Linked DNA regions of Caenorhabditis elegans. The protein of the gene in region 2 interacts with the protein of the main gene of each other region in a pairwise test. Each region holds a gene or a part of one and is shown on either strand. Other genes may lie near its edges. The genes, in order: cki-2, cye-1, aars-2 and nova-1.

The links.
Region 1: the proteins of cye-1 (region 2) and cki-2 interact in a two-hybrid assay, tested with the Caenorhabditis elegans proteins (one large-scale study listed by BioGRID).
Region 3: the proteins of cye-1 (region 2) and aars-2 interact in a two-hybrid assay, tested with the Caenorhabditis elegans proteins (one large-scale study listed by BioGRID).
Region 4: the proteins of cye-1 (region 2) and nova-1 interact in a two-hybrid assay, tested with the Caenorhabditis elegans proteins (one large-scale study listed by BioGRID).

Annotation. Positions count from the first base shown.
Region 1 is NC_003280.10:7,814,957-7,820,798, reverse strand, and holds cki-2 (Cyclin-dependent kinase inhibitor domain-containing protein), read right to left. Parts: upstream 4,300-5,842; 5' UTR 4,172-4,299; intron 4,110-4,171; exon of another isoform or gene 4,108-4,109; 5' UTR 4,092-4,107; coding exon 4,017-4,091; intron 3,975-4,016; coding exon 3,646-3,974; intron 3,603-3,645; coding exon 3,535-3,602; intron 2,902-3,534; coding exon 2,739-2,901; intron 2,682-2,738; coding exon 2,537-2,681; 3' UTR 2,483-2,536; intron 986-2,482; coding exon of another isoform or gene 927-985; 3' UTR 523-926; downstream 1-522. Other genes in the region: irld-47 (Receptor L-domain domain-containing protein), read left to right, coding at 1-69, 151-274, 324-466.
Region 2 is NC_003279.8:6,778,882-6,784,929, forward strand, and holds cye-1 (G1/S-specific cyclin-E), read left to right. Parts: upstream 1-1,924; 5' UTR 1,925-1,939; coding exon 1,940-2,016; intron 2,017-2,105; coding exon 2,106-2,250; intron 2,251-2,921; exon of another isoform or gene 2,922-2,993; intron 2,994-3,109; coding exon 3,110-3,188; intron 3,189-3,231; coding exon 3,232-3,504; intron 3,505-3,638; coding exon 3,639-4,027; intron 4,028-4,286; coding exon 4,287-4,460; intron 4,461-4,501; coding exon 4,502-4,873; intron 4,874-4,933; coding exon 4,934-4,999; 3' UTR 5,000-5,515; downstream 5,516-6,048. Other genes in the region: pqn-21 (C2H2-type domain-containing protein), read right to left, coding at 1-130, 557-766, 887-1,025; acdh-5 (medium-chain acyl-CoA dehydrogenase), read left to right, coding at 6,027-6,045. UniProt on the Caenorhabditis elegans protein: Essential for the control of the cell cycle at the G1/S (start) transition. In association with cdk-2, regulates proliferation, quiescent state and cell fate during the development of several cell lineages.
Region 3 is NC_003279.8:3,981,510-3,987,086, reverse strand, and holds aars-2 (Alanine--tRNA ligase, cytoplasmic), read right to left. Parts: upstream 3,905-5,577; 5' UTR 3,883-3,904; coding exon 3,739-3,882; intron 3,689-3,738; coding exon 3,500-3,688; intron 3,450-3,499; coding exon 2,279-3,449; intron 2,229-2,278; coding exon 1,553-2,228; intron 1,483-1,552; coding exon 930-1,482; intron 877-929; coding exon 703-876; 3' UTR 506-702; downstream 1-505. UniProt on the Caenorhabditis elegans protein: Catalyzes the attachment of alanine to tRNA(Ala) in a two-step reaction: alanine is first activated by ATP to form Ala-AMP and then transferred to the acceptor end of tRNA(Ala). Also edits incorrectly charged tRNA(Ala) via its editing domain.
Region 4 is NC_003283.11:18,078,873-18,083,763, forward strand, and holds the start of nova-1 (K Homology domain-containing protein), read right to left. Parts: upstream 3,035-4,891; 5' UTR 2,959-3,034; coding exon 2,952-2,958; intron 1,169-2,951; exon of another isoform or gene 1,084-1,168; intron 1-1,083. Other genes in the region: fbxa-106 (F-box domain-containing protein), read right to left, coding at 3,586-3,774, 3,820-4,462, 4,512-4,599.

The DNA.
Region 1 (5,842 bases), on a different chromosome or scaffold from region 2:
GAAGATGAATATGTTATTCAAATTGTATCAAACATGGATCTGGAAAAAGCCAATATTCCTCGATTATCGGTTAGTTAAAAACTTTTTTTTGAATATTACTAGCTAAACAGGACCAAGTTCATTACTGCAAAGTTTCACTCTTAATTCCAGAACATAATATCAAAATCAAATCGTACTGTGGTTGTACACAATAATCCATTACTACTCAAGCCAAAACGTTTTCCATTTCAAGTTACATATGCTACGAACGTTGTATTTATAGGAGATTATTATGGTAGGTTTCTCTTGAATTTAGGCGTATAACTTTCTTATTCATAATTCAGCAAATTCCTCATCAGTTTCTTGTTTTATGTCTCGTTTTATTTTTGGCATGTGTTTTATCGAAATAATAAAACTTGTGCTAAATCTCCCAATAAAATATCGCCAGTTTCTTGTTTTCAGGTCCGTTTTTGGAAAACCGTTGTAACTTTCTATTGCACATGTATGGCTCTTAAAAATAATCTGAAAACCATATATCTTATAAGGAAACACTAGATTTCATATAACCAAAAACGTAACATTTAACAAGAGTAACTGGGGAGGTAGGATATAACGGAATGGGATGGGTATTTATAACTAGAATGTCTATGATTTGAGTGGCATGAAGGGGCCAATTAGGGAAAAAAACAGAAACTATCTAAAATAATTCAGTTTTTGAAAAATTGAAACGGGGATATGGTGGGACTTTTTTTACAGGAGTAGAACACAGAAATGGACAGGGTATGGGAATTTCAAATTCACAGATAAACGGGGGATGGGGTATACGAAACAAGGAAACAATATATAGAGAAATTCTCTAAAAAAAAAATAAAATATGCAATTTTTCAAACTCAATTTATATTATGAATATAAAAAAGTAGACGGTGAAAGTTCCACTTTGAATGCAATTATGACGAACAGCTGATTGAGATTGATTGTGTGGTACTGTAGAAGATGAATTGGCAGACTGAAAATAGAAATTTCAATGTATTAATTTTGGCAAATAAATTCAATGTATATATTGCTGACGTCACTCACCGTTGAGTTTTCAATCGGGGGCGGAGGTAAAAGCAGTTTTTTACAACAAGTCAACTGTACATACATACATAACAAGTCAACTGTACGTACATACATACAATTATTCCACACAGTAAAATTCAAATGCTATGAACCCCCACACATAAATAGTCGACCTTGTCCCGTGATTGCGTCACTCAATTGTCTCATACTCATCATTCGTTATCTTTAATGAACGTCTTATCGAGCAAAACGAATCTAAGCTTGCGCAATGGGCCGTCGTTCAAATCACATTTACTTAATTTTGAACAAAATTATAATGATAACTTTTCTCAGAATATTACAAACATGTTCTAACAGAGGAAAATTGGTTGTTCTTTTTTCTATGCAGAAGTTCCAATAATATATGCAAGTCGCCTTATAATTTGAAACACATTCTCAATTAATAGCCGCTTTTCATTTTTGTTCCTTTGTTACCCATAAAACCTCCTTATTGTCTTTGTAAATTGTACTATGTTTCTATTAGGAGAAGCCGACATGCCGTGGACAAATAAAATGCCTATTTATTCTTCTAGATTCACATCTGACATTAGGGTTATTTTGGAAATCCATACAAAATGTTAGATTAGCCAACAGCAACACAGTGAGTATATAAAGTTAGAAAATACCAATACGTTCAGTTATTGGGTTTAATTGTAACGGAATATTCGTTCACCTTCTACCTTTCCGCACTTCAATTTTCGGAAAAACATCAAAAGGTACCGAAGTGCCAATGGATGCATCTGTTCGTTCACTGCTTTTCACTTCCACTAAACTATTTTCTCTCACAATGGCGGCGATTTCTTTCAACTGGACACTTCTACTTTCACACACATAAGCTGTGAAACCGAAAAAATCCCCCTTTTCAAGAAAATTCACCAACGAATATCGAGAAGAAAAAAGAGAAAATGGAGGATAATGGCCGTGGCGAATGGTGTGATTGGTGCAGAGAAACTGGTTTTTTGCCCATCAAACAGTGTCGCAAAATGTGTCATAAATCTCAATGATTTGAACGACTACTTTTTGTTCCTGGCTGGATGTGAAAGTGTATAGAACTAAGACCAGATTTAAACTGAAAACAAGAGCGAAGGTCGAATGCTCTCAATAATTTTTCAATTCTTTGTATTTTTAAACATAATCGCCACTTTGAATTTCATGTCATGTCAATACATCCAGACGGGTGGTTATTTGTAATGTCTCCGACTACTACAAAAACCATCACACCGGCAATCAGTACAGCTGCGATGAGTGGCAGATAAATGAATGAATATATTTTCACGACACCTCATTTCAAAGACCATTTGCCGCATCATGTTTCATGTACTCCGCTTTACACGAAATCGTTTGACCTAATTCATAGTGATTGATTTGAATTGAACCCATATGTTTGAACGAATTAAATGAATACCTCAAGAAGTTGAAGAGCATGATGACTAGCAATTGAATGACGAGCTTCTCAAATTCAAAAGTCCCCGGCTTCAATGGGGCGACGAGAACGACGAGTCGAGGTAGTCATCTTCTTGGCTGGTGGCGAACGAGGCGAACTAACTAGAACAGTATCCGAGGTAGACGACTGTGCGGACTTTGGCACATTTGATGCAACAAATCTGAAACGAAAAAATTCGTTTCAAAAATTCATTCATTAATTAAAATTTATATCAAACCTAAGTGGCCGTTTCGGAGCTCCCTTGTTGTTGTGGACAATCTTACTTCCACGTTTTTCCTTGCAAGATTCCATGCTCGAGTCGATTGAAACTGAACGACTCATCGAAACGGCAGCGGTGACCAGGCACGTCTCACTACGGCGCTTTCGAACTGGCATGTAATCTAAAATTTATTTTAATTAGTACCCTTGCAATTTTTTAATGGTTCAGTTAGCTCTCGTCCTCTAAATAAACGAATAATCTAATCAGATGTTCGGGCGGTCTGGTGTAAAGAGGAAATTGAATTGAGCCGATTTACGCAAGTCTTAACGCAATATGGACCTTCGTAGTCAAAGGTAATAGATAAGAATCTCGATTGTCATGCATGCACCAAGGGATACTTAAAATAATTTCAAATTTTCATGCTACCCTCTACGCGAAGTGCACAACAAATTTAGCCAGTAATTCTTCCCGAACACATGCAATTTGAGGTTCCATCTGCTCCCTCAATTACGTCAGCCACCAGTTAGTCAATTTTAAATTCTTTTTTCTTTTTCCCAAGGCCAGCTGTTCTTTTCTCGAGTTTCACGACGGTATGCATAACTTGACATAACTCATCACGGAAGAAAAGTGATCGATGAGCCGTTGAAAGGTCAACCATATCGCATGAACATATGAGAGAACTGTGATATTTGAGAGGAATAGACGTCGGCCGTTCCGGCGAAAAAGTCCGGATGGTTTTTTAGGAATAAACAAATGACGACGATTTGAAATTGTTTTGAAAGTGGTGCCAGCGTTAAATTCGATAAAAACAAACTTGTCAATTTTGTCTGCTTCAAGTTGTACGTCTCCTGTTGTTCGATTGATTGTTTAGCAGCAGACGATCTATTAAAATAATTATTTTCAAAGTACTGAATTTCTGATTTACCTGGTCACAGGCTTCTCGTATACGGTTACTTCAGTAGACGTAGAAGCAATCAAAAGTGGAGTCTCGTTCGATTCCACGACAGGAGGAGATTCTGAAGGCATCTCAACAGTGTCAGAAACCGGTGTTGAATTCCGTCTGGCAATGATTTTTCGCGGCCGAACAATCTTCTCTCGGTAAAAGCTTGGAACTTCGGAAGCAGAAATCGACTCGAATTCATAGTCTCCTCGTGATCCAACGATTGGAACTCCGCCAGAAAAATCGAAATTAAACTTGCGAGAATCCTTTTTATACATTTCTTCCAGACTGCTGTTGAGCTGTCGAGAAACCTGCTAACTTTAACTATGAATATCAGATTTAAAATAATTATTTACCTCTTCTGGATCGGGTTTTCCGAAGAGACATCTAGCCGCCTTTCGCTTCCCGTCGCCGGCTGTTGTTGCCGCCATTTGTGTTACTTCGTTTCTGAAATAATTTTGATAAGAGAATTTGAAATAGTAATGTAAGCGAAAAGTGCGGTAAAACGTACATTTTTTGCCGGTAAGAAAATAAGAGAAAAATGTGAGTGCGCCGCGGCAAGATCGATCGATTAGGCGGCAAAAGTGTGAAGAGTGGTGAGAGAAACGAGACGACAGCGAGTTTCGAAATGAAATGGTAAAAAGACGAACAAAGAGAAATTAGTGAACAGTTTGTGTGTGTTAGATTCACGTATAGACTAAATTTTAAAACAAAAAAGGTTTTTTTTCAAATAAAAAGGCGTTTCGATTCAAACTCTTTGTTGTTGCCGCGAGAAATGCGGCAAACCAGATTATCAATAGCGCGCGATTGCTCTTGGATTTCAGAAATATGTTTTTTTCGATTAAATCTTTCCTGTTATTTTTGAGCTCAAAATTTGAGTAAAAATAGAAGATAAAACTACGGGAGGTCCTGATAAATCTCATTAAATAGTTGAAAACCATAGGTAAATAACGTAATGCTTATCGAGAGGAAATCGGCGGTCATAAAAATTGTACTCTGAGAAATTCAACAAAAGTTCTATTGCACGGCTAAGAAAAAATATTCCAACTTGACAGAATGTAAATCTTTCTAGAATATAAAATGACGAATAATGCCAAATACATAACTCACGTTCCCGATGTCTCGAAGCGAACCAACTTTAGTTAATATGGAAGTACTGTAGGTTACGGTAAGATCGCGACGAGATATCAGTCACACAAGTCAAATCGTGCATCTTCAGATGATAATAATGCATGCTTTGAACTTTGAAAACGAAAAATCGTCCAACTATTTTCTAAAATCTAAAGTTACTTTTAGGGTTTCCATTTTCACCAATTTCATTGTGACCTCGCCTGTTTGGTCACTCCCAGTCAATTTTTCTATCCTTGTGCCCTCATCATAGTCTTTTCCATTTTCTCTCGTGGCTTCAATTACCAGCTGTTGCGCATCTCGACTTCATAATCATTCCCCGACACCCTGTGCAATATTACGTCACCGTCTACCACACACCTGCCGACAACTGCAGAATATAACCAGTTGAATCCCTCCGGAAGAAGTGTATTAGTGAACGAGAACAGTTGGTGTGTATATCGTTCAAGTGGGGGTGACTAGGGGACAATTTAGTGGAAGAATGTTAATTAGGATAAGTGACCGATTAGGTGGCAACATGTGTGAACAGAAGGCTTCATGATACCTCAGCTGGTGGCAGTTTTTGAGGAAATTTGTTTCAATTGTATGTTTCACAAATTGCTGCATTTAAAAGTTCAAATATAGAAAAGACCACAATTTGAGCAATTTAAGATTGTCTAGAAATAAAATCACTCGTCTGATTTTCTACCCTTGGTATATTGCCAACTTCACTATATTTCAATTCAGTTATTTTTCGAGTTTAAACTTTTGAAAAAATGAAACTAAAATTCAACTTAACCCCCCATGTACAATTTGATAATCGTAAAAAGATCAGAACTGGTGGTATTGGCTGTATGCCAGCTCCTTTTGATAACCATTTTTGTCGTCTTGACTGCCGTAAACCTGTCAAACTGTCAAAAAACCCAACTATTTACATATGACCAGAAAAGTAGAAGTTGAAAGCATCTCTTCTAGGTGAAAAGGTGTATTATATGTACTTTTTTATCGCGAACTACTTCTTTCTCTCAGTAGTTTTAATTGTCTTTCATATACTTGGAGAAGTATGACAGGTTCT
Region 2 (6,048 bases):
GGACTTTTTGATGTTGTCATATCGGATGAAACAGGCGATTGAGCATGTTTCTCATCTGACATCTCTTCAACTTTTAAATCTTGTTCATCGATTAACTTCGGAGAGAATGATGATGTTGACTCAACGACAGCTGGAAAAATAAACCGTGTTTTTTCTTCAATAAATATTTTTTATCAAGTTTTTATGAGTATATTTACTTTTCTTGGACTCTCTGTTAAAATTTCGAACATTCTTCTTATATTGCGCTCATAATTTTTTTTTAAATGTTAATGAAGAGAGCTATTTGCAGTAGACTATCTAAGCAATTTAATTGTTAATTTTTAATTTTTAGTGCCTTCGCTTATCTATTTTGTTTTTAATAGCCTGAATTTCCATTTCCCTAGAGGATCTCTCGAAAGTTTTGAAATTATTTGAGCAGCTACGGTAGATGCGACTTTCGTGCATTTACGCGTGGCGGTGTTCACACTGATCCCAAAAATTTTTGTTTGAAATAAATTGCTTTTTTTTCGCAATCTTTCATTCTTATTCATTGCTTTTCCGTTTACCATTTTCATACCATTTTCATCTGTTTTTTCCACTTTTAAAAATTCTTCTCGCATTTTATCAGTAGGCTCGGATATTTGTTCGTCTTTGACAAGATCTTCTGGTTTTTCATCAATTTCTAGTTGTATTTCTTCATCAATTTCCATTGGTTCAATATCATCATTCTCATCATCCTCATCTAACTCGCCGTCTTCTTTTCCAGAAGTTTCCGCTTGATCGTGAGCTAAATGCAATAATTTTCAAGATTTACGAGAAATATTTTTTTTTTCTTAAAAAAAATTTCAAACGAAATTTCAAAAAATTATTTAGAAGTTTTTGTTAATCATTGAAACAAATAACGTACCGTCATAAGTTGTTTGAAATTCGGGGGTTTCCTGCAACGGTGGAGGAAGAGGTGGGGGCGCTGAAATCGATGGTTTGTCTTCCGAATCGGACGGACTTTCATCGATCTGTAGACGACCCTCGTCCTCATCGTCTGACATGTTGCTGAAAATTTGAAAATTAAAATTTTACAAAAGATTTAATTAAAGCAATAATCAAATTTTTAAAATACAATTTGAAATGAGAGAAATTTTAAAAATAATAGATATAGTTTTGAAGGTTTTGATACTTGAAAAACGTTATCCTTATTTGGTAGCTTATGAAAACAAAACAAAAACAACTGCAAGATGTGTTTCGGATGTTTTTTCTTCATTCTCTCAATTGTCTGACATCTCCGGAGGCAGTTGCTGTGCCCTCTATTGGTACGTGTCGATTGCCTGCGTCTCTGTGTCAAGAGGCACCCTCTCATCTCTCTGGAGACGGCAGAGAAACATGAGATCGTGGTAAGACCATCAGGGAGGACGGCGGCAAATCGGAGGGAACGCGCGAAATGAGCGCGCGATTTGAATCTAGAGACCATATGACGGAGGTTGTCTGTAGTTGACCTTTTTCGGTTTTATCTGAACTTTCACAGATTGATTGCGTAATGTCCACTAGACATTCGTTATGGTATAATTGATATTTCTTTATTAATTTTCATTAAATATCAGATATCAATCTCTAAATTTCAAGCATAGAAAGTATCGTGCAAACATGAACAGTTTCATGAGCTCAGTTTATATTTTAAATTCACACCTAATTCAAATCTTAAATAATTTTTAATGGAATAACTGCAAATCTAAATCTAAAACCAAAACGACCTTCATTCACTTGTACCAAATCTTATCTGATTTTATGAATTTAAAATCTTATTCTTCTTCACCTCTGACTGATAGTTTATGTTCTCCCTATTGTGTACACTCAAAACTGCACAACATTTGTTATTTGAGCCAGTTTCAGTCGTTATCTTCCTATTTATTTGTTTTTGAATATTTTGAATAGCTCGACTTGATATTTTCAGGGAAATTTGATCAAAATGGCTGGAAGAAAGTCATCAAGGACGGCTGAACGTGTCCCCACTACACAAAAGCCAGAAAGAAAATCTGCTATTTTGTAAGTTGAATTTAGATGGATATTAGAGAACTGATAATTTTTAGACTTTATAAATATTTATTCATCTTTCGAAAAATTTTAATTTTCAGATCTCCACATGACGAACTGCGTGAACGTCTTCTGGAGACTGCAATTGATATGAAGGAAAATATTCCACAACGAAATACCCGAAATTCGAGCGTTGGAAGTCAGAAATCAGATTGTTCTGAGACAAGAAAACGACGAAGTACTAAGGTTTGTGTGCTTATCAGTGAACATTTTAAGATGGAACAAGGGAAATGAAATAGAGAGTGATAAGAAAAGTACTTTTTTAAATTATAATATTACTACTTGTACAAATGCCTAAAGAGATTTTTGCTTCTAATTTTTCGAAAACCGTAAGAAAAACTGTCAAACGATTGCGGATTGTTACTAAGCTGAATGGGGGTAAGGAATACATTTTAATTTGCCAACAAAATTAGCAAATATTTCTAGATTTAAACACATTTTGCTATATTTTCAGTTTTGAATTTAACTTATTTAGGTAACAGCATTCATCCAGAAACACAATGTCTAACAAATTAATTGAATTTCGTGGGTAACTAACTAACAGTCAAACGCTCAATATTGAGTAGTCTGGGTTCTACAGGAAACATCTCTCGTTAAATAATTTGCAAACAAAGTTTGCACTGAGAAACAGACACTTTGTATTTGACCAGTGTAATAGTGCGCCAAAATGTACTCATTCTCCCGTTTTCTTTTTTCTTCTCTCATCTCATGTTCACACCAGCACCTCAGATTTGCGAGAAAATAAGACGCAGACATCGATAGTCATAGTGACCAGTCTCTTTCGTATGCAGAACACAGTTTTGTGTCCGCTTTGTATGTCCAATACTTGTTTGCCGTCTGAGTCTCACTGTTCATCTGGGGGTATAGCTCAGTGGCAGAGCATTCGACTGCAGATCGAGAGGTCCCTGGTTCAACTCCGGGTGCCCCCTAAATACTTTTTGCATTTTGGCTTCTGCTTAGAATCATGACGATCAAATAAGTTTCCTAAATTTGAACAAAATTATATAGTGGTTCAATCTTGTTTGATAATTTATTAATTTTACAGGAAGGTCCAGCTGCAAAACGTCATTCGGGCGAGAAGCATCGAAATGGTAGCCGCGAAGATTCTTTGGAGTATATTAGTGGTAATCTAGTTTTATTAGAGTAAAAATGATATTCTGTTTGAAGAATATTCAGATGATCGTGAAGTTGGATCTTCATCATCACAATCATCAAGAACCCGTGGACAACCACTTCCAGCTATGCCTGAGGAAGAAGAAGTGTTTGATAAATCATCTTCATCTGATAATCTTGCCGAATCTGAAGAAAGTCATGAGATGGTCCGATTGGAAGAGAGACAGGATATTGAAGAAGAAATTGAGGATGATTTTGATGATGAAGAGGAGGATGTTGTTAACGATAAAGAGGAGTACGAAGAAATTGAATCTGAAGATGAAGATGGTTAGTTTCAAAAATACTCATGATGCGTTTGAAATTATTAGCATTTTAGATCAAAATTTGATAAAAAATAGTGTCTCCAAAGAGAGTATCAGTGTTTCAAGCTGAAAAACCTACCCAATTTTGATACAATTTAGATTATCCTGTCCAAAACGAAGGATTTGCCGTTACAAAACGGCTCATGAACGACGAACATATGGTTACGGCTCCAACGTTTCTCAGCACAGCAAAATGCGATGGAATAGGATCACCAACAAAAGTTTGGTCTCTTATGGTCAAACGAGACGAAATTCCACGTGCTACACGATTCTTGCTTGGAAATCATCCGGATATGGATGATGAAAAGCGACGTATTTTAATTGATTGGATGATGGAAGTGTGTGAATCAGAAAAATTGCACCGAGAAACATTTCATTTGGCTGTTGATTATGTTGATAGATATTTAGAGTCATCAAATGTTGAATGTTCAACGGATAATTTTCAATTGGTCGGGACGGCTGCTCTATTTATAGCTGCTAAATACGAGGTAACAATCAGGGGTTTCACTGACACATTTTTCGTTTTTTTTTTTTAGCAAAACCGAAAAAAATTCTAAAACACTTCAAAATCGATAGTTCTCAAACGGAATTAAATATTTATATTACGATTTACACCCTTTTTCAAAAATCCAAAAAAACCGGCAAGCCTGGTAATAATTTTAATAAAATATTTCACCGATCTAGAATTTGGGTTCAATTAATTTTTTCACAGTATAGATTCACATTAATTTTTGTTTTTTTTTTCAGGAAATTTATCCACCTAAGTGCATCGATTTTGCTCATCTCACCGATAGTGCATTCACCTGTGATAATATTCGAACTATGGAAGTTCTTATCGTCAAGTATATTGGGTGGAGTCTTGGGCCAATCACAAGTATTCAATGGCTCTCAACATATCTTCAATTACTCGGAACCGGCAAAGTAGGATTTTAAATTTTTTGTTGATTAAAATATTTTTTCAGAAGAACAAGTCTGATCACTACGAAGAGCAAAACATGTACGTGCCAGAATTACTCCGTTCAGAATATCTTGAAATGTGTAAAATTCTCGATTTTCTGCTATTTGAGATCGACTCATTTACTTTCTCCTATCGTACCATCGCTGCTGCTGTTCTTTTTGTCAACTATGAGCCAACTTGTGCTGTTGAGAAGGCTACCGGATTTATGCAGGCTCAACTTGAAAAAGTTATTGAATATGTTGAACCGGTGTGCCGGGCGTTCGCCAAACAACGACAACTTCTTGACGATGTTATTCCAAAACATGAATCAATAAAATCGGATGATTCACACAATATTCAAGTATACGTTAAAAGGAGTTCAATGGAACCTATTGTGGTAGGTGGATATATAAAATTCATGAATTAGAGGTTGTTTTCATAATTTTTATTTTTCCAGAAAAGCGAACGAGAGAGGATTCAGCATTTAAAAGCTCGCCGTCTTCATCCGCAACGACTTTTCTAAAATAACCCGCAATAGGATTCTTTTATCATCGAAATTTCTGTAGATTACTTACTTCAAATAATCATGCACACAGGTTGTCCCCGTTAATTCTTTCCTTCAATCTCTTTCTCTCTTTCACCTAGTCTGTGCCATTTCAATATGATTGCACCCCGGAAAATATCAAAAACTTCACTTAACAAGTGATCCCATATTACAAAAATATTCAAATTCCGAAAATCGAAAGATGCATTTCCGTTTTATTTTACCGAATTTTGATGTTTTTGTAATGTGTTTAAACCCCTTTTACAATTAACTTATTAATGTTTTGTTTTACTCATCTCACTTCCCCTTCTTACTTTGTGCTTATTTTATGTTTTAGGTTTTTTTATTGTATCATAAAACTGGAAATTTTGAAATAGGCTTCTTTCTCCCTAAACTTTTTTAACAGGTACTGTAACTGGTACATATCCTCTGCCCCACCCCGCTCCCAACTCGTCTTTGTCTGTTTGTTTATACGAAATACAATTTTTAACGAGTATGCGGGTTTCTGTTAGCTTCAACAATACGATCATTCAAATTTTAAAATTAAGAAACTATAAAAGCACAGTATTTACGTGAGTTGAAACAAAATGCCTTCTCCAAATTTCTTAACACTGAAAAATTTTCGGAAAAAAAGCAGAAATTACTCCGCAAAAAATTAAGGACATCATTCCAATATTTTTTTTTACTTATTTGATGAAAAATTAATATATTCCAATAAATTAAAATGAATTATCATCTCAGGAATACTGTAGAATTACTTTAAGATTTTGGCTTATTTATATTAAGTGGTACGGTAGGGGTACTGTAGGTGTATTGCAGAGTTGTAGACACTGTAAATGAAATTCCAAAGAGCATAAAATTTATCAAAAAAAAGTTTGCGTGAATTTCTAATTAATGTTTAATCTTCTTTTTTTGTTAAAATTTGTTCAGGGTTTCTTATCAAAAAATGAATCATTATTTAGTTTCTTGGCTAAAACACTACTCATCTTCGTAGTTTCTTGCCGTGATGTTTCAAGCTTTGTTAAGTA
Region 3 (5,577 bases), 2.8 Mb from region 2:
AAACACGAAAAATCGCCCGAATTCAATTGGATATATCTTTTTGGATATATAATTGAATATATTGGATAGATATATTAATATTTTTATCAATTGATTGTCCCAGAGCAGTACACGACCGGGAATCAAGAAACTTATCTCTTAAGCATATGTCTGGAATTTGTTCTCAAATCATTTTTCTAATCTGCAAAATTGCAAAAATCTGCTCTTTTCCTCCGTAAAACACATTCATCGCCATCTGGAATTCATTGCCGTTCCGTTTCTTTTGTTGTTCTTCACATTTTTGTCCATTGTAATGTTCAGATAGCTGTGCCACAAATTAGAGATGTCTGAAGTGTAATGCCACGTCACTTTCAGAAATCTCCAGAATCTTTCGAAACTTGTTGGCTGACAAGTCGAAGGTACTTTTTTTTTTGAAATCGATCGAGGTGTTGTTGATCCGCGAGTTGAGCAGCTGTCCAGCTGTCGCGTCCAACCCACTCAAAATTGTTGTTTTCGTGAAATGGGAAAAAGTTTGGCCTCTATTTACTGCATAAACATTTTGAAACCTCGACAAACCAGCAAACAAATTGAAACATAAAATAGAAATACGAAATAAATATAATGACGGGGAGGGAGAGCAATGAACTAGAATGCAACAGACAACAATAAATAGAGGAAAGGAAGCGATATGAAAAACAGGAAATAGATTGAAAATTGGGGAAATTAATTGATTGCAGCAAGGGCAAATTTCTGGGCGAGTTCGACGGCAGCATCAAGTTTATCGACATTCTCTCCGGTGAGCTGAGCATTTGCGTCCTTTCCACCACCTTTTCCACCGAGAACTGTGCAAACTTCATTCACCCACTCGTTGGCTTTCAGGCCGTTGCTCACCAAGCTCTGAAAAAATTATATTATTTTTCTGAATTGTTTCAAAATTTCAAATTTCTCACCTTATCAACTTTAGCAAGACACAAAACTTTTCCAGAATCTTCATTCACAGAGAAAGCCATAACTGCTTTTGTGTCCTTGAGAAGTTTCAGAGCATTATCGATGGCTTTGCTGTTAGCATTGGCGGCGAAGACGTGAACGAGAACAGTAGGCTGCTCAGCGACAGCAGCAAGTTCCTTGGCTTCTCCAAGAACCTTTTCAGCGACAGCGGCTTGTTGTGCCTTTGTGTATCCATCCAAAGTCTTCTGAATGGCCTTTGCCTTTTCACGGATAGAATCCTTTCGCCAGTATGGCAGCTGAGCTCCGTTGGCTTCATCGACAATTTCTTGAATCTTCTTCTGGAGAGCCTTGAACTTATCCTTGTTGGCCAAGAGCTCATCCTTCTTATCGGCATGCTTCGATTCTTCTTCTAATCGAGCAGTCAGTCGATCGGCTCTGGCAATGGCTCTTTCAGCTTCTGGTCCTGTCAATGCAACGATACGACGGATTCCTTTAGCAATAGCTTCTTCCGATGCGATGACAATGCGGCCAATGTGAGACACGTTCTGGAGATGGCTGAAATTATAAAAATTATATCAAAATTTAACGGGTATCATCATAAAATATAAAAAGAATTAGTACTCACGTTCCTCCGCAGAACTCGACAGTCGTGTTCTGTCCCTCCTCTGCATCAGGATTCTGGAGAAGTTGCTCAACTGGAGTTCCGACAGCGACAACACGAACTGGATCTGGGTATGTTTCATCAAACATCGCACGAAGTCCCTTGACTTTTTTGGCTTCTCCAAGTGGCGAGTTCTTGGCGTAAACTTGTCCTTTTGTGTCAATCAGCTGTTGAGCGTATTCCTCGGCTTTCTTCACTTGCTGAACAGTCATTCCAGCTTTGTTGGTGAAGTCGAATCTCATACGATCTGGAGCAACGAGTGATCCCTTCTGATCCGAATCGGCGAGAACTTTGCGAAGAGCATAGTTGAGGACATGAGTTCCGGTGTGATTCTTCATGATCAGTTGCTTCCGGTCTTCATCGAATCGTTCGTTGACCTGATCACCGACTGAGAAGCTTCCTTCGGCGGATCCAACAAGCACGATGTATCCACCACGAACTTGGCAGTTGCTCACGTTGAACTCGTTCGACTCGTCATTGACTTTTGTCAAAACTCCGACGTCGTAGATCTGACCTCCCTGCTCGGCGTAGAAATTTGTCCGATCGAGAAGAATGGCTCCTTCTTCTCCGGCAGCAAGTTGATCGACAAACTTTCCGTCTCGGCGAATAGCAAGAATCTTTCCAACGCATGGCTCAAACTCTGAAGAAAAATAATTATTACAAGTTCATAAAAACAAACAAAAAACATACTGTACACAGCATCGGATCCTTCTCCAGTAAACGTGTAAGCGTACTTTGGCGAATCGTCGGTAGTTGGAACTCCCTTCTGTTGAAGCTCAGCCAATGCGTGAACATCCAAATCCAGCGTGTCACGGAACTTTCCAGTTCCAGCTGATGATGTCTCGATGGCTTTCCTGCGAGCCTCCTCGAAAGCAGTATTATCGACAGACAATCCTTTCTCTTCGGCCATCAGTTGAGTCAAGTCAGCTGGGAATCCATATGTATCGTAGAGTCTCCATGAAACATCTCCAGGGAACGTCATGGTTCCTTCTGGAAGCGATTGAACAGCGCGTTGGAAGAGAACACGTCCACGAGACAACGTTTTCAGGAATTGCTTCTCCTCGTCGTTGATGATATCCATGACGGTCACTGGATCACGGCTGAGTTCTGGGAAAGTCTCTCCGAGAATTGAAATAACCACTGGAACGAGTGATGCGAAGAATCCAGGCTGTGCATTCAACTTTTCGCTGGCATAACGAACTCCACGACGAAGAATTCGACGGAGCACATATCCTCTTCCAGAATTATCCGGACGGCCACCATCAGAGAGAGCAATGGTCAATGTTCTGACGTGATCAGCAACTACACGATATGCCATGTCCACTCCGTCTTTGTCTTCGTCACCAATGAAGCCAGTATAGGCACGAACGCCACTTCCTTTGTGAATCGCCTCGAAAATTGGTTGGAAAATGTCCGTATCGTAGTTGCTCGTCTTATCCTGCATCACAGCAATCAATCGTTCGAGTCCAAGACCACAATCGATGTGCTTCGCTGGCAATGGTTTCAGGACGCCTCCTTCCTCGCGATTGAATTGAATGAAGACAAGATTCCAGATTTCAACAACCATTGGATCATCGGCGTTGACAAGATGAGATGCGTCACGATTTCCAATGCGATCATAGTGAATCTCAGAGCATGGTCCACATGGTCCAACATCTCCCATCTCCCAGAAGTTATCCTTCATACCGAAGTTCAAAATGCGCTCGTCTGGCACTCCGACGGATCTCCAGATATCACGAGCTTCAGAGTCGGCGGGGACTCCGTTTGCCTCGTCGCCACCAAAAACCGACACATAAAGACGTTCCGCTGGGATTCCGTATACTGTTGTGAGAAGTTCCCAAGCCCATGTGATGATTTCTTTCTGAAAATTATTTTTTTAAAGAAATTTAATTAACTAAATCAATTTCTAACCTTGAAATAATCACCGAAAGACCAATTTCCAAGCATCTCGAAGTATGTGTGATGGTAGACATCTTTGCCGACATCGTCCAAGTCGTTATGCTTTCCACCGGCGCGAATGCACTTCTGCGTGTTCACGGCTCTTTTCAGCTTGGCAAGGTCGCTGTTTGGATCGGCGATTCCGAGGAACAACGGCTTGAACTGAAAATTTTAATTATTAATTGCAAGAAAAGCCGTTTGAATATTCTTACTTGGTTCATTCCCGCGTTGGCGAAAAGAAGAGTTGGGTCATCGTGCGGAATAACAGACGACGAATGTACATAAGTGTGCTCCTTCTTCTCTCGGAAAAAGTTGATGAAGGTAGAGCGGACCTCTGAGGCAGTCAGGTGCTTCATAGTAACCCAGGAGAGGTTGCTCTGAAAGAAAAAACTTTAAAATTGTTTTTGCTAACTTATAAACGACGAAAAATAGGGGAGGCGAGATTACGAGAGATTTCGCAATGAATCGAATTCGATTCGGTGCGAATTGGGTGCGAGAACGAGGAAGCTGAACAAAGAAAAATCGAAACAGTGCGCGGAAGAAAGCGGAAGCGCGGAAAAAGACAAGAATAGCGAATAAAATGAAGAATGAGTGCGGGAAACATTTCAGTGAGGTGGGCGGAGTCCAAACGCAAGCGCCGCACACTTTCTATGAAAACCGCGGGAAAACTTCATTTTCAAAATTTAATTTTTTGCGGTAGAAAATTTGGTCAATTTCTTTCATTTTTATCATCAAAATGAAATAGGAATGAACGCAAATCCATTTGTAAACGATTCGATTCATAAAAGACCCAGCACACATTGTTCTCTTTTCCATCTCTAAAATTTGTGTAGTCTCTCACTCGGTAAAACTTGTCAACACCGCATTCAATATGTTTTTCTGTGGAGCAATAAATTGATTTTCATTTGAAAAAAAAACAACTGGATAGATAATAAGATAGTGCCGAACATGATAATTTTAAGAAAATTGGGAAATTACAAAAAAACCCGAAAAAAGTGTTAAATCTGAAAAACTGATATATCTGTGAACCTTTAGTTTTAGAATTACGTGGAATAGATTTTTAGTACAGGAACACAAAATTCTGAGAATGCGTATTGAGCAGCATTTTGCGAGCAAAATATCTCGTAGCGAAAACTACAGTAATTATGTAAATGACTACTGTGGTGTCGATTTACGGGCTCGTTTTTCGAAAACAATTAAAATAATTGATTAATCGATATAATACTAATAGTAAGCGAAAAATGAGAAAATAATACGAAGAACCGAAGGAAAATGGAATATCACTGTCGCTCTTCAGAAATAAAATCTCTTGTCTTGTCAGATCGATAAATTCAAGCTGGTCATTGAGTTGCTCTTTTTCTCCGAAAGACTCACTCTAATCTTTGATTGAAAATCGTTGTATTTTTTTTTAATTTTACATTTATTTAAACTTTCTTCATTTTCTCAACTGGATATTAATTTAGTTGTATAGCATAACTTTAAACCAAGTACGCAACATTACAGAATTTTTTCTAGAATGTCCGTCAAATTATTCTCTCTACCAAGTGTGGTTCATTCACAATTGCTCAAGGAAATGAATGAACCAGACGTTTTCATTTTATCTCTTTGTTCGAAAAAATCTGCATCGGTCGTTCGAAAGCGAATCCTGGAGGTGCCTTCTATAGAACATACGTTCACGAGAACAGATTCTTTTCATATGCATGGTTTGAATGTAGAGAGCAAGAAATATAGACTTCAGCTACTATTTACAAGTGATCCATCGCCAAAAAAATTGATCTTTATACTGAAGACAAAGCTACTTCTTATTGGGTTATTCAAGTAATTTTAGAAACGAAGAATCAATTAAGAAGAAGTACAAAATATTGTGAGGTTTATTTTAAACCATTTACAAACTTATTTACAATTTACCAATAACTTATATATATATATACCAGCCGTTCGCACGCGCTGAAGCGCGTGCTCCGACTGGCGTACTCAAAATTGAAATCAAATTCTAAATTTTCTAAGCCTTCTTTGCAGATGGAACGTTTTTTCCCTGATTACCGGAAATT
Region 4 (4,891 bases), on a different chromosome or scaffold from region 2:
TATTCCCGCGAAAAAATCATCAGGAAAACTGCTCAAAATTACAGCAAAACTGGCGATTTTTACCAAGTTTTATGGTCTGCCAGACTACATACTACACAAAATGTATTTAGCAGACCCAGAATCCATTTTTCTTGCATTTTTTATTGATCAGCGTTAAAATTTGCAATTTTCGTGATTTTCAACCCACTTTTCAGCAAAAAATTCAGCTTTTGAAGAAAAATCGTAGAGAAAAACCGATTTTACGATTATATTTGATAATTTAGAAGGAAAGCTCGATTTTGAAACGAAAAATCGAATTTTTTGCAAATTTTCACACGCAATTTCGAGAAAATCGCGTAAAAAACCAAAAATTTGTACGAAACCAAAAAAAAAAACGGAACGCGTCCTCCTTCGAAAAAAGAGCGCGTAAATACGAAGAAATGAGTCAGTTGACGGACACAATGATGAGATGAAGAGACGGCAGACAACGAGAGGTTCCATGTTTTCTCTCGTCTCTCTCAGCTCTCAATGCTCTCTAATCGTCGTCACTTTTTGTCCCTCGCCAACATCGAAAATCGATGGGATTTGTTGGTGGGACACTTGGCAGCATGCCAAGTGTTATTCGGAGAGCAGATGGCCAAAAAGAACGGCGAGAGCGGGGCAATTTGGCAAAAAAAAATCGATTTTTTCCTAAATGTGGGAGAAAATTAGCGAATTTTAATGCTGATTAATAAAAAATGCATGAAAAAATCCAAAAATTCGCGAAAAAAAAATGGATTTTGGGTCTGCTAAATACAATTTTTGTAGTTTGTAGTCTGGCAGACCATAAAACTTGGTAAAAATCGTCAATTTTGCTGTTATTTTGAGCAGATTTCTGATTTTTTCGCGGGAAAAAAATTCAAATCTTGCATTTTCGCGGAATTTTTCAGGAAAAATTAACGATTATTGCCTTAAAAAATCAATTTTCACACAGAATTACGCATAAAATCACAATTTTTCGCCAAAAAACCGTTTAAAAAAAATGCATATTTTTCTATGGGAAACCGAGTTTTTTCCGTCTAAATCTGCTTATATTCACCTAAAACGCAAAATTTCGTCGAAAAAAATATGGGTCTGCTAAATACATTTTGTAGTTTGTAGTCTAGCAGACCTACTCTCAGAAATTTGGTCTGCTAGACTACAAACTACAAAAAACGCTAGCATACCAATCGAAAAATTGAGAGATTTTCGTCAGATTTTGAGAGGAAAATGATTTAAAAACGAGGTTTAAAGCAATTTTTCAAATTTTTTTCAAAAAATTCCAGAAAAACCGGCTTTTCTGGAATTGGGGAGGAAAATTAGTGAATTTTAATGCTAATTGGTCAAAAATACAAGAAAAAATAAAAAAAATTCGCGAAAATTTTTTTTTTGGGTCTGCTAAATACATTTTGTGTAGTTTGTAGTCTGGCAGACCATAAAACTAGGTAAAAATCGTCAATTTCGCTGTGATTTTGGGCAGTTTTCCTGATTTTTTCGCTGGAAAAATTCAAATTTTGAATTTTCTCGCAATTTGAATATGAAAATTCACGAAAATTGACTCAAAAATCGATTTTTACAGAGAAATATGAGTAAAATCACAATTTTCGCCAAAAAACCGTCTAAGAAAACGAAAAATTCATATTTTTCTATGGGAAACCGAGTTTTTTCCGTCTAAATCTGCGTATTTTCACATGAAAACGCAACATTTAGTCGAAAAAACTATGGGTCTGCCAAATACGTTTTGTAGTTTGTAGTCTAGCAGACCCACTCGGGTCTGCTAGACTACAAACTACAAAAAACGCTAGCAGACCAATCGAAAATTTGAGAGATTTCGTTAGATTTTGACAGAAAAATTGATTTAAAAACGAGATTTAAAGTAATTTTTTAATTTTTTCAGCAAAAAATTCCAGAAAAACCGGTTTTTCTGGAATTGGGGAGGAAAATTAGTGAATTTTAATGCTAATTGATCAAAAATGCAAGAAAAAAATCAAAAAAATTCGCGAAAAATGTTTTTTTTTGGGTCTGCTAAATACATTTTGTGTAGTTTGTAGTCTGGCAGACCATAAAACTTGGTAAAAATCGCCAATTTTGAGCATTTTTTCCTGATTTTTTTGCGGGAAATATCTCAAAATGTGCATTTTCTCGACATTTTAATGTGAAAATTCACGAAAATTGACTTAAAAAATCAATTTTCACAGAGAATTATGCATAAAATCACAATTTTCGCCGAAAAAACTCTGAAAATACGAAAAATTCATATTTTTTGTCGGTTTTCTGTGAAAAACTGAGTTTTTTCCTTTAAATCTGCTTAATTTCACCTGAAAACGCAAAATTTAGTCGAAAAAGTGATGGGTCTGCTAAATACATTTTGTAATTTGTAGTCTGGCAGACCCAATCTCAGAAATTTAATCTGCTAGACTACAAACTACAAAAAACGCTAGCAGACCAATCGAAAATTTGAGAGATTTCGTTAGATTTTGACAGAAAAATTGATTTAAAAACGAGATTTAAAGCAATTTTTCAATTTTTTCAGCAAAAAATTCCAGAAAAACGGGTTTTTTAAGGCAAAATTCAGTTTTTTAGAACTTTTGTAACAATAAAAACTGCAATTTTACCGGAAAACCAGTAGAATTTAAATTTTAACTCATAAATTATACAGTCAAATTTTAAGTCAATTTTCTTGCAATTTTCGTCAAAACGGCGTAGTTTTACCCAAAAACTTGCTGAAAAGTCGAAAAATCTGGATTTTGGCGTAAATTCCACCATTTTCAGCCGAATTTTTCCGATTTTTATCGAATTCAAACATTATTTTGCCGGAAAATAAGACAAATCAAACAATTCTGTGAGAAATATCAATTTAGGATGGAAAAATTGCGGAATTAATGGAAAAATTGAATCCTAAGAGGTATTTTTTTTTTCGAATTTTACCTTTTTCAAGTTGAAAAAGCACGAACCTTCCATTGCGCTTGTTAATTCCTTCAGTTTTTCGTCGAAAATCAGCAAAAAAGCGCCGAAAATTGGGTGAAAAGTTCGAAAATTGGAAAAAAATTTATTTTTTTTTATTGCGCCGTACTACGGTAGACAGAACACGCCGTGCGGTGTTTGCGGAGTTGTGTACCGTAGTCCGGTTTTTAAATTGAAGTTAATTTAAAATGTTTTCAAAATTATTGATTTTTAATGAAATTTCCTGAATTTTAGAGTCAAAAATTGGTTAGAAATCGTGAAACTTGAGAGAAAATCGTCGAAACTCTCAATATTCCGGGTTGAAATTCAATTTTTCATCTATATTGAAACAAAAAATCATTTTCTCAAAAAAAGAAAATCGTGAATACTTGAGGTTTTGTATAATTTGCACCGGTTATCCATGCATTTCCATGCAAATTAGTTAAAAAATCTAATAAATTTCAATTTTTCACTTATAGTTTTTCTCACAATTTCCAGCAAATTTTCGGGAAAATCTCCACTTTTCAACAAGGTTTGCAATTTAATACAAAAATGTCTCAAAATTGTAATTTAACAAGAAAAAAAACAGATTTCAACAAAACAGTTTATTTTAATGAGAACCACACGAGTGAACAACAGTTTAATTTATTTCTTCTTTTCGATTTTGATAGAAATATGATCGTATAAGAGGCTGAAGTGAGAGCCATTGTCATAGTCAACGCGAAAAGGTCTTCTAGCAATGAAATTTGGATTGAAAACTCGCACAACTCCAACGCTGAAGATATTTCTAGAAGTGATGATTCCAGACTCAAAAACAGTCGATTTCAAGAGAATCTGGAAAAAATGACAATTTTTTTGAAGGAACATTAAAAAACTAACATCTCTGATTTTAACAGCATCAGCGACAGAAAGATACGCCGTATCAATGAAGAAGTGGGTAAGATGGAAGAGATTTTCAATTGGGAAATGCTTCTCTCCATATGAATCAATAAAAATCGACTTGGCTCTTTTCCATTGCTCCATTTCAAATAATTGATCGACGTAATCTGGATTCCCGCTGCAGTAAATGCAAATTTCTTCTAGAAATCCTGGTTGAAGAAGCGGAAAAATTGTTGCGGCAAAAGTTGGAAGATTAATGGAAAAGTCGATTCTTTTTACCTTGTAGAGGTTTTTTGAATCGGACATTTCTTTGAACCAATTCATAAATGTTTCCTTCTTTTGAATACGATCATATCCTTGGAATTCAAGGACTTCCAATTGAAGTTTCGAGTTCTTCATCACCACTGACAAGTCTGTCTCAGCCATTTTCAAGCCGTTCACTCCTTTAAAGCGCTCATTCCGATCATTGTAGTTTACTGTGCAATGCGAATGACTGAAATCATAGTGAATTACAGTAGATTTTGCGTCAAGCAGCCACATCTGGAATTGAGAGTGATGGATGTTAAGTACAACGCGCTTGATTCCAGGATCCTTATTATCGACGATTGCACGAAAGTTGCGGCAGACTTTACGGACAGAAAGCCTGAAATTTTCAATTTAATTAATCCTCCAAAAACTAGTTCTGATTATACCGTTCGATTGGTTCAACCTTTTCCACAATTTTATGAATGACGTCCAATGGCAAATTCGACATCGATGGAGCCTTGGAGCACGGCCTCTCTCAATTTCATTTATTTCAAAATTCCTCTTTTTCTCTCACACTCTCTCACGTGAGATTGAAAATTGAATAATATATGTGTTTTTAAATTAAATTCAAAATATTGACGAAGAAACAACTTTGGTATAAATACTGATTTGTTAGGACCGATACCAAATGGTAATTTTCGGACATATTTGATCTCGTAGACAACGGCTCACTATTTCAGTGATCTTTAAAGTAATAAAAAATTCTTCAAAGTTTGGTACAGAGAAACTGAAGTAGTTACATTTGTAGAAACTTACATAACTTATA